Tribolium castaneum: one gene and its partners. The protein of the gene in region 1 purifies or fractionates together with the protein of each later gene. This does not show direct contact. Links are inferred from orthologs where the notes say so. Each region holds a gene or a part of one and is shown in the gene's direction. Other genes may lie near its edges. The genes, in order: mbo, Nup214 and nuclear pore glycoprotein p62.

The links.
Region 2: the proteins of mbo (region 1) and Nup214 purify together in Homo sapiens (affinity purification with mass spectrometry; 6 studies listed by BioGRID and IntAct, counting the BioPlex papers as one, with this or other methods). This does not show direct contact. The link is inferred for Tribolium castaneum from reciprocal best matches to the Homo sapiens genes NUP88 and NUP214.
Region 3: the proteins of mbo (region 1) and nuclear pore glycoprotein p62 purify together in Homo sapiens (co-immunoprecipitation; 4 studies listed by BioGRID and IntAct, counting the BioPlex papers as one, with this or other methods). This does not show direct contact. The link is inferred for Tribolium castaneum from reciprocal best matches to the Homo sapiens genes NUP88 and NUP62.

What each region holds. Positions count from the first base shown.
Region 1 is NC_087401.1:12,382,367-12,386,496, forward strand, and holds the start of mbo (nuclear pore complex protein Nup88), read left to right. Parts: upstream 1-1,187; 5' UTR 1,188-1,250; coding exon 1,251-1,457; intron 1,458-4,130. UniProt on the Homo sapiens protein: Component of nuclear pore complex.
Region 2 is NC_087398.1:6,201,278-6,205,049, reverse strand, and holds the end of Nup214 (nuclear pore complex protein Nup214), read left to right. Parts: coding exon 1-3,076; intron 3,077-3,124; coding exon 3,125-3,152; 3' UTR 3,153-3,214; downstream 3,215-3,772. Other genes in the region: ribosome biogenesis protein WDR12 homolog, read right to left, coding at 3,228-3,772. UniProt on the Homo sapiens protein: Part of the nuclear pore complex. Has a critical role in nucleocytoplasmic transport.
Region 3 is NC_087396.1:18,040,734-18,044,696, reverse strand, and holds nuclear pore glycoprotein p62, read left to right. Parts: upstream 1-1,351; 5' UTR 1,352-1,453; coding exon 1,454-1,523; intron 1,524-1,575; coding exon 1,576-1,764; intron 1,765-1,813; coding exon 1,814-1,927; intron 1,928-1,974; coding exon 1,975-2,101; intron 2,102-2,616; coding exon 2,617-2,967; intron 2,968-3,015; coding exon 3,016-3,127; intron 3,128-3,230; coding exon 3,231-3,386; 3' UTR 3,387-3,438; downstream 3,439-3,963. Other genes in the region: ankyrin repeat domain-containing protein 12, read right to left, coding at 3,439-3,704. UniProt on the Homo sapiens protein: Essential component of the nuclear pore complex. The N-terminal is probably involved in nucleocytoplasmic transport.

The sequences.
Region 1 (4,130 bases):
TTTGTGATTTTTTTCAAAAACTGTAAGAGATAGTTATAGGACCTATTTATAAAAGTGACCATAAATATCGATATATTTTCGATTGCCTTAAGAAAATAGGGTCGTTCCATTTGAAAAAACTGAGTTAGAGCAGTTTTTTGATAACCATTTTCAAAAAATCATACTAGCCATGAACTTTAAAAGTCAACAATTTTGAAAAATATAGAAAACTTTTCAAACCTTCGGTTATCGAATGCAAAAAAAAATAGTCACTTATCGCAAAGGGTTCAAGGACTATGATATCTTAGATAAACCATTTCAAAAAAAAAAAACAAAAAAATTGACATATGTCAAAAACTTAACAGATAAGTACCAACAACTAGGGTAAATTTTACTCAACTTGAAAAGGTGAATTCAAATATGCAATAAAATCTGTAGTTACTACTTAAAATTTCAAACTTGACGCCATTTTTTTGTAGTTTCGAAAGCTCAGTTATTTTGAAAATAATTTAGTTGAACTTAGACTGGTCGATTTGGGTCGTATACAAAATTTTAAAGCCCCAGCTATTCTAATGTAAGCCTTAAAGAATCACCCTGTATAGAAAAGTTGTTATGAGTTTTATGTGGAGAAATGAACACCCGTATTTCTGATACATCCTGTATATGCATTTTGCATATTTTCCGAGCTGTACTAGTGATACTTTTTTTTGTAACCCTCGTAATAAAATTGTGGATGAGCCGCCCGGCCCCCGCCGCCTATATTGAAAAATCCATCTCTTTGAGAAAGGGCGCCCCAATTTGGATGTTTAATATTTAAATAGGAGTTATCGAAGAATAGATATCGCCTCAAATGTTCGTTTATAATACATGGGGAAGTATTCAATTTGTATACGCGAGCGGATGGAACCTTACTCGATTCATAAATATGCGAAAATACCAATAAGGTGCCGTCTCCCCGCGCAAATTACCTCTTCAATAATACAAGAAAAAGCCCCCACACTTCGCGACACAATAATTTTATCAGAACTTTGCATAATTCCCGACAACTCTTAGAACAACAGAGCCCGTACACCAAAACCCAGACATATTTACCGTCCAAGATAAGGCTTCATTCATTATTAAACTTATTATCGTGCTTATTATTATGCTATTATCTTCGAACTCGCTTCCAACTCCGGCACAAAAACGTTCAAACTAGGCGCTATTTACGGCGGGCGGTTGGCACCACTGTGGCACGTGGTTCGCTCCAAACAAGCCCGTTGCCGGTAATCATGGATTCTACCGATTATTTAGGGCTAAGTAAAATCAAAATTTTAAAAAATGTGCGTGAAGCAGTGCCGGAAAAGTTAAAAAAGTCAATCAACTTGCTTGCGGTCAAATACGGCGTGCTTTTCACCTGGGATTTTGCCAACAATTGTGTCCTAACCTTAAATATTAAAGCTGCAAGAAGCAACGATGGGGATAATGTTACGCACCAAGTAAGTAAACATCGCTTACCTGCATGCTTTACCCGCATTTACCCTTTTTGCGTGATAAATCGGCGAAATCGACGAAAAAAAACTAGAAAACAGTAAACATAACCTCAAAATGTCACTGCTTTTTACCGGTTTTTTTTCGGTCAAAAAAGCGTTTTTCGTGGTGTTTTTCTCAAATCAAGGTAAATTTTTTGGTTAAGAGGGGTAATAATCTGTAATTATAATTACATCAAAGTGGCCTTGACTTTAATATCTTGTTTCTAATTTCGTCACAGCTCACTTTGATCAGAAATCAGGGTACGTGGTGTATTAGAAGGGGTAGAAATTAAATGTACAGTAAAAATAATAAATGAGGATTTGAGTTTTTAAGGTGTAGAAAAATTGCATTCTCCTTTTTTTATGTTACTGTGCTTTTTATTATAAACAAAAAATCTAGTTTTGTGGCTAAAAAAATGGGCCACAAAAAGGGTCTGTAAGGTATTTTGTTTAAAAATTGTTTCTCGAGTATAAGGGAAGATTTTTTTTTAATAAAATAAAACATAAAATTTTGTTTCTACAGTCGAAAACTAACGGGCTGCGGTTTTGGACAATGCCACTTTTTAAACTTGCACTTTTAGAGCCACAATTAGAGGAGATAAAAGTCTGAAACCTCTAATTTTTACATTTTTTTGCTGAATTGTTTTAATTTATTTGAATATTTTTTTTGCATAATAGATCAGGTGTTGCTATTGGTGGGACATTTAAATGATATTTAGCTCTTTGAGCTGTTTCTTAATAAATAAATAATTAATAAAAATTAATTGTTTGCACTTTTGGTTGGAATTGTTTGGAAGTATTTAAAATTTTTAAAATTGTTTTTGTAATTTATGGAATTTTTTTTTATTACTGTAATTTTTTTTGGATTTTCCTGCGTTTATTTAATTGTACACCATATTGATAACGCAGTTATTCAATTTTTTTGGAACTACAAAATTTAAGTTGGAATTTCGCGAATTTGGAATTTTGGTGGATTTTTTTGGAATTACTGGATTTTTGGGGAATTTTTTGGGATGTAAATAATTGTACATATTATTTTAAGTTAACAGTTTTTCGAGGATTTTTTTTATTTTTGAAATAGGAAAAAAGTGATACATTTATCACTTTTGCCTTTAAGTGACTTAATTTTTAAATATGGCGCAATATTTGATAATAGAATTAAAATATGAGAAACGTAGGGCCTGTTTACAGAAAGCGAAATTAAGATTTAACTTAGTATTAAAGTAATTAATTAAGTTGCTATTTAAAATGCATTAACAAATGTTAAGTTAATGTAGAATTAAAATTTTGATTGTAATTAAAATGTTCTGTAAACCGGCTCTTTAATGTCCCAACTCGATGTGATTTAAGCTTAATCACTTTTTCCGAGTTTTTTTTTTTCTGAAATGAAGGGTTCTGTGGTACAATAATCTTTAGTTATAATTAGTAATTAATTTTTGAAAAAAAAAACAGATTGGAGTTTTTAATATTTTTTTTAACAACGGGTATTATGTTACTGTGATTTTTTTTGTTGCTGTTGGTGGGACATTTAAATATGACATATGTAATAAAATGTGGTGGTATCATTACCCTCTTTTGGGTATCGAGGAAAGTATTTAAAATTACTAAAATTATTTTAGTAATTTATGGATTTTTTTGTTGGATTTATCCAAGATTATTTAAATGACTATAATGATACGCAGTTATTCGATTATTTTGGAATTACAAAAGCTAAACTGGAATTACACGAATTGATTTGAGATTTTGATGTATTTTTTGGGATTACTGGATATTTCGTGGATTTTTTTTGGAATTACATGTATCTATTATTTTACGTTAATGGTTTCTCGGGAAATATATTTTTATTTTTAAAAACCAAGTAATAAATTTATTTTTTTTTGTAAAATTTTGCAGCAGGTAAAAAATCACGGATTCAAAATATGTTTCTTGCGTAAATGTATTTTTTATAGGTGAAAAGTAATAAATTAATTGACTTTAATTGTCCTTTTAATTTTTAAATGAACAAAATCTGGAAAAATTTGTTTCCATTTCTTTAAAAAAATAATCATTTTTAAAGTTGTCGCCAAAGGTTGCTAAAATCCTGTTATTCATATTTTTTGGTGGCACTTTTTATTGTGGCTTTTCAGGCATTTAGTTGTTTCATAATATACTATAAAAATTTTAATTCGACTTGTTATTTTTTGTCCTTGTATCCTGAAGAAAATATAACAATGATCCTATCCTACAATACCTGCCTTCAACAAATCCTCAATAAAATTTTTAGTAATTTGATATTACCTGATTATTTAACAATTATTGTCACGGTGTTAGAACGTAAAAAATAGTTTTTTCTTTCTAAATTTTGGCTTCTATAAAAAATCACAGGTAAATAGTTATAAAAAATCGAAGTAAAATTATTATTACTTTGTGTATATTTTGGAGACTGGGTTTAAAAATGTGTTCCGTCCGTATAAAGCTTTTCCCGTCCATTTGTCCGCCATTAAAATTTTCCACGACAATAATATCATCGTCTTGTTGGTAGTTAAGCCCGTCCCTTTTCTGAAGTTGGTCTCATAAAATAAAGTCTCTCGGATAAGTATCTCAAAACTCATATAACTAATAATTATTTCCTGGTGTCTTGTCTCGTTAGTAGCGCCACCT
Region 2 (3,772 bases), on another chromosome or scaffold:
GGATGAACCCTGAAGACATCAGCCAACTTCAGTATGAACACGTCATAAATCGAACGAAAAATTTCACGAAAAAGAAAGTCCAAGATTTGCGGACTTTTCTCCAAAAAAGAGAATATCCACATATTTCATTCGTGAAGCCTCAATTGGCCAGTTCCGTAATCCAAACTCCGCCAAAACAACTTAGTCGGCTTCCCGAAAAAACTTCAGTTGCACCTCGGGTTCTCGATTTTGCGCAGTCAACTCCCAAACCCACTGTGCTCAAATTCGACTCCACGGCAACTCCAATCGAAGGTTTACAAAATTTAGCCCTTAAATTCGAGGCTAAAAATTTCACAAATTTGCCCGAGAAAACTTTCACGCCTTTGACTAAAAACGTGATTGCTGGGTCTCCAAATTCGGCTTTTGTCTCAACTTCGGTTTCTGCATCAGCAAATACTTACAAACCCACCTTCATGGCTGCAACTACAGCCGTGACAGCGTCTATTATTAAAACAAGTCCCAGTTTTGTGGCAGTGACTAGTACTGCAACCATGCAAGCACCTAAATCGTTTGTTAATTTGTCTTCCCAACCAGTTACTAGCAGTACCCCAAAGGTGGGGACAAACCTCTTTGCCACATCTTTGCCTAAAACTACATTTTCGTTCAGTTTACAAACTACTAGTGCGGCGCCCATTTTAACAAGTAGTGCAGCGACTACCAAACCCAGTACGTCTATTTCTGTTTTTAATCTATCCACGAGTGTTAGTACTACCGCGGAAAGTACGATTTTTACGAAAACTTCTACTCCGTCATTTGGTATTGCTACCACCACAGCACCAACCTCCACCCAGTTTTCGTTCGGTGGCGCTACTAATACTTCAAGTATTTTCGGTGCAGCAACACAAAAAGTGACCGAAGCTGCGACATCGAAAACCTTTACGTTTTCTACAAAGCCAGTAGTTACTTCTGCAACAAGTACTCCAAATGTGGTGGTTTCTGCCGTTTCCCCCGTTGCTAGCAGTACCCAACGTTCAATTTTCCCTACGACTTCTGTAACAACCAGTCCTAAAACAACGCAAGCTGTCTCGAGTCCAGTCTCAATCCAACCCACTTTTGGTGTAACAGCTCCAAATTCAGTTAGTACTACCAGTGGCACTCCATCAACTCAGTCCTCACCGTTTTCATTGGGGGCACTTAAATCATCTATTTTTCCCTCACCGGCTGTTCCTGCCGTAACTACAACACCGAAAATCGCCACCAGTGCGGCCACTGTTGTTACTACAGCTGTTACAACTACCGGTGTTACAGCTCCTGTTGTTACAACAGTCCCATCTTCAACTAGTATTTTCTCAACGCCAGCAACAACTCCATCAATTTTCGCTTCGCCAGCAACAACTTCAACAATTTTCTCTTCGCCAGCAACAACGTCATCAATTTTCTCTTCGCCAGCAACAACTTCATCAATTTTCTCTTCGCCAGCGACAACTTCATCAATTTTCGGCTCTATTGTTAGTAGTACTACTCAGTCTCCAACCATATCTTCAGCTCCGCCCACAACTGGGTTTTTCGGTGGTGCTCTTTCAACTAAACCACTCTTTGGTGGTACCGAAGTTAGCGCCTCGAAACCGTCAATATTTAGCAGCACAACTGCATCAAGTGTTTTTGGGGCTGTTGCAACCACGGATTCAAACGTTTCGAAACCATCCATCTTCGGAGCCCTGCCATCATCCTCCACTACAGCTTCTGTCTTTGGTACTGTTGCAAGTACCGATAGTAATGTATCAAAGCCGTCAATTTTTGGCAATGTTTCGTCAAGTACTTCACCAGCGACTGTTTTTGGCGCTACCACACCTACCACTCAGATTTTTGGTGGTGCTACCCCTTTGTCTACTAGTTCATTTGGGGCTGCAGCTACGACACAATCGTCAATTTTCGGCTCTCCCACTACCCCAGTTTTTGGAACTCCTGTTGGTACCACTCAGTCGACTTTTGCCAGTCCTACAACGACAACTCAATCTCAAGGGTTCGGTCTTTTTGGAGACGCCGCCCAAAAGCCTTCCCTATTTAATGCAAAACCAAATGCGACTCAACCGTCAATATTCGGAAGCACACAGCCGTCGATATTTGGTGGTACCACAACTTCTTCAACGTTCGGCCAAAGCCAGCCCTTCGATGGGAGCAAAAATACAAGCGCTTTTGGTCAAGGTTCTGTTTTTGGTTCGTCAGGTAGTACGAACGTTTTCGGGGGTTCAGCACCCGCTTTTGGCCAAACGGGTGGTTCCGTCTTTGGAAATGCACCAACTACGAGCTCTGGGAGCATTTTTGGGGCAACGACTACAAGCGGAGGTACTTTCGGTACTAGTGGATCTTTATTCGGAGCACCTGCGTCCACTGCCCCCTCACTTTTTGGGGCACCTGCATCTACGACTCCCTCTATTTTCGGTTCGTCGAATGTCTTCGCCCCTGCCACTACTCAGTCCGGTACTTTCGGCACCAATACCAGTTCCGGAACGTTCGGTTTCGGAAGTCTCAATGTTTCAACGACTGCAAGTTCGGGTTTCGGTGCACCTGCGAACCCCTTCGGGGGCGATAAGAGCGTTTTCGGAGCCTCTCCAGTGTCGTCAAGTGGCTCAGTTTTCGGTTCCAGTGGTGGATCGCTCTTCAGTAACACGTCCCAGAGTTTTGGTACCGGTTTCGGGAACCAATCTTCCTTCGGCCAACAGTCGTCCTTCTTCGGGGGTAGCAGTTTCGGTCAGCAACCTGCGGGGCCCTTCAGTGGTGGGAGTGGAACTGTGGGACAAACCGGGTTTGGGGCAGGTCAGAGCTTCCAAAAACCGGGATTTGGGGCAGCTCCCGTTTTCGGGGGATCGCCCAGTTTCGGGAGTTCGCCTAGTTTTGGAGGAGCGCCGGCGTTTGGCAGCCCACCGGCTTTTGGGAATACTTCAAAGGTGTTTGGGTCCTCAAGCCCCGGGTTTGGGGCAGCTGCTAGTACCCAGAACACAGCTTTTGGTAATTTAGCCAATCAACCAACAGTAGGGTTTGGGAATTTGGCACAGCAAGCTGCCAACGCCCCAGCGCAGAGTGCGCCGTTCTCTGGGTAAGAATTTTTAAACTGATAAATGGCATAGTACATTTTTTTTTGTAGGAGCTCCTCATTCTCCAGTTGGCGTTAATGAAGGAAAATGTTTTACGTTAAATTTTGTAAGCTGAAACTAATAAATTTTTTTAAAATTAATTTTATTTTTCACTTAAAACACATAATTATTTCTGAAAATGTGTACACTATTGTCGCACCCTCCAGAGACCAGATACTTGTTATTGGACCAATCTACAGCTAGGACTTGCCCTTGGTGTCCCTCTAAATTATAAAGTGGGGCTTTAGGGCTTCTGGAATCCCACAATTTGACACCAGAATCGTATCCTCCCGACATAAAAAGGTGTTCATCGTATTTTGACCATTCAATTGAACTGACCCATAGCGTATGTGAGGTGAAAGTAGTCTTGACCACTGAACCCTCTGAAGACCTTGGGTCGTACAACCGAATATGTCTATCAGCTGAACATGCTAATAATGTGTTAGATAGGGAAGACCAAGAAGAATCCAAAAATGCCTTCTGGCCAACTATTTCATTCTTGATACCACACAACTCAGCATCCCAAAATTTAATCGTATGGTCCATTGACACAGTGCAAATTACATGGTTGTCAATCCAGGAAGTCGAAGTTATGGTTTCTTTATGGCCTTTTAATGTGTGAATGGGGGTCCTGGTAATCAGATTTTTGTCTCCTCTTA
Region 3 (3,963 bases), on another chromosome or scaffold:
TTTTTTTACGTGTAACGGTGGCATGTAACTTATGGCCGAGCGGCATGTCCACACCAAATCAGCTTTGGTGTGGAAGCAACTTAACGAAGAAATGGAAACTCATATTTTAAAGCCCTATATTTATATTATAATAACTGTAATATTTTTTAAATAAAATACCACTTTCCCCAAATAATTGTTTATTCACTCCTAACACCACGACGGGACAAGCAAGAGTGCCCGTTCGTCATTCTCCTACTTGCTTCCCCCTACCTCACTCAGCCTTTTCTATATAGGTACAGTACTTAATACACTACAATAACAAATTAGTTCGGTTATAGTGAATATATGAACTTCACTTTTAACGTTCGAAATTTAGACAAAAAAGTGGTCTAGGACTCGGTTATAAGTTATAAGTTATAACGTACGCACATGCACTTACAGCACTTACATGCACTTACAGCGACATTCCAGCAGGCACATAAACAGACCAAGTAATTAGAAATCTTTAAATTTAGGATACGAAACTAAAAATTATTGAATTGTTAGATAACTATTAAACATAGATGAATGTAGATAAATATGCTTTTCTAATAAATTAAATTAATACTTTATTTCGTGTATCTGTTTCACGTTTAGAATTCAGTTGACTTGAAAACTATTCTATAAACGACGATGTTCGGATAAAACAAACGATCGGGTATAATACATAACAAACAAATTCTGAAGTCCCTTGAGTGTTCGTTATAACCGAGTTCCACTGTAACTCACCAATTTAGGGTGGAGTTTAAATGAGAGCGATTTGAGACACTGTAGATCTTCCCCTTTTCAAATTGTTTAATTTGATTCGTAAGCATCTTAATAATCTTAATATATTAATCTCTTAATAGTCTGAGAAAAACTACCAACTAAAATAGTAATGACAAAAATTTAAATTATCCTTCGTCCTATATTTTTTTGAAAGGCGGTCTATAGGGTTTAAGATATAAAAATTAAAAAGTTATAGAAGATTAAAATTTCTCACAAAAAAGTTTGCGGAATCATCTTTAATGGTTTGAATGTTTGAGTGATGGAAAATAATTTGCACTTTAAAACAATTTAAACTTATTATTAAAGATAAAAATTTGGCTTTTCGGATCTTTTTAGAGAAAATTTAATTCTCTCCACTTTTTTTGTTTTTTTTTTGTTTTTTTTATACAATTTTGACTTTACTTACGGGTAACAAAAATAAAGATAAAACCTTCTGTTATAAAAAAGTGGAATATGGAAGCTTATGACACTAGAAACGCCAACGGACACTTATGATTATAATTTGAAACTTAATTTTCCTCCTTCCTAAATTTTATGAGGCCATGGTTAAAAAATCCATCTTTCCCTCAATCGCCACTAGTGCCGCCACCATCGTTTTAAAATTTAACGTCAAGCTAACCTATAAATTTTGTGAAGCTACTTGAAGCTAACTAATTTTCTGAAAATGTCTTTCAATTTCGGTGCCCCTAAAACGGCTACAGGTTTCACATTACCTACCACTAGCACAATTGCCAGTACGTAAGACATTTTGCTAACCAAAACGCAACTAACCCTTTTATTACACAGCCACCACAGCTACGGGCGGTGCAGGCGATACCAAACAGCAAACCCCTAACAAACCACTAACAAATCTATTCGGTACTCCTACGACCAGTACCGGGTTTTTCCTGGGTACAACCCCCAAAACAACAGCGTCAGTAAGTTTCGGCTTAACAACAACAAGCGCAACCTCAACTCCCAGCTTTACAATAACTCGTTAGTAACCCTTTTTTGTTAAATTTATGTAATAATTAGTCAACTTTAGCTGCGACTTCGACGACTACGCCGCAGTTCAGTCTAGGGACAAGTGCTTCAACCACTACCACCGCTGCCACTTCGTTTACTCCTATTTTGTCCACAGGGACATCCCTATCTTCAGGTTTAAAAAAATTAGGGTTTTGTAGTCTTTACACGATTTAAATTTAGGTTTTTCGTTGGCAAGCAGCGCTGCAACTTCCGCACCTTTGAAACTAACCACAACCCTAACCCCTTCAAGCACAACAACAACATCAGCCTCTGGTTTAGGCCTAGGGGGGCTTACAGCTACTACACAGTATGTACTCTAATTATAAATACTTTTAACCCGCGCAAATGCGTGTCACAGTTTATAATAACATATATCAAGAGTACTGTGAAAGTTTAGTTAAAGTATGTCTTGACTAGTATTTTATTAAGGGTACTAATAAAAAGATTATTAATAAATTCGATTTTGATCATATAATACGAGTGCGAACACACTAGGTTAAAGTTCGAGGGCTGTCGTTATACAACGAGCATATGCGAGTTGCATACTTAGACATTATTATTTTTACTGTGCGTTTAATTCGTACCGTTTTATTATTGTATGTCGAATTTATCAAATTTTGAACCATATCTTGCGTAAAATATTGATTAAAATATTTGAAATCTTTTTTTTTAACAAACTTAAAATCAGCGTTGACAATGCTCCACCTGGTTCCTGATTTGTATTATATTGTAGTTTTGATATTTCATTAAATATAAGAGTTTATGAACATACGTCCGGGAAATTTTTACAGCACTTTTGATATGTTTCGTATAATTTTTAAGAGCGCCAGCTGTGACCACCACAACAGCAGCAAGTCTGCCAACTTCTGGTACCTTAACCTATGCTCAGCTAGAGGACTGTATCAACAAATGGACTATAGACTTGGAAGAACAAGGAAAATTCTTCATTAATCAAACAAAACAGCTGAACGCTTGGGATAACCTGTTGGTTTCAAACACTGATAAAATATTGGCCTTGAATGAAACAATTGAGCGTGTGAAACAGCAGCAGAAACAACTAGACCAAGAGCTTGATTTCGTATTAGCTCAAGATAATGAATTAGATGAGTTGAGTCTTCCTCTAGAGAAACAATTAACTGATATTCCAGTCACGGATCAGAATAGATTCCAAACGTAATTGTTTATTACAGTAAAATATTCGACATTCTGTGGGTGTTTTAGGTATCAATTGTCTGAAATAATTGACTCCCAATTGAAGCAAATGTCCGAGGATTTGAAAGAAATTGTGGAACATTTGAACGAGTCTAACAAAAATGAAGATATTACTGATCCGGTTTGTGTCAACAAATGTTGTCAAGACTGCTCTGCCTACTTCACAGCACTCTTGGCCACATTTTTGTTTCGACTCACTATCCTATCATGTGTGTATGTTGTAGGTCATTCAAGTCAGTCGCATTCTAAATGCCCACATGAATTCGCTCCAGTGGATTGATAGAAACTCGTCTCAGATTTGCTCTCATTTGGAACAGATTACACAGTTACATGAGACTTACAAGAAAAACGTTTTTATTAAAATTTCCTCTATACAATAACGCCTTGTACAAATTTCTCATATCAAACAATAAATCTAACAAGATATTGCACTTAGTCGCTTTTTGAATGTCTGTGGCTTTTTGTTTCTTCCTCTGGGGGGCTTCCTTCATTCCCCTTGACTGTAAATGTGACGTAGTATCGCTTGTTCTGATCCAGACGATCCGCAGGCAGTGATATGACTTGTTTGTCGTTTCCGTGGCACAGTTCGAGTGTCACGGCCTTTTTCGTATTAATTGTTGGCAGAAAACCTGTGCCGGGTTTGCACTGCGTTGACGTAAACCCGATTTTGGGGATAGTGTGGTGATCCATTTTGGGAACTACAAAAATATGAGTAAACTTGCAACAAAGCTTTTTGATTAAAAAAATAAAGAATTTGTAATTTCATACTTTTGCTCGTTTTGAAATTCCAAAGTTTTTGATAAATAACGTATTAATTGATTGACGCCCGATTTCTTGAACGGTTTATCGATAGATAATCTGTACCTGCGAGTTAAAGAAGTGTAAGTCCATTTTTTACGAAAATGATATAATGCGTAATTTTAAATATTTAGCAACCACTTAAACTGAAAATGTCCT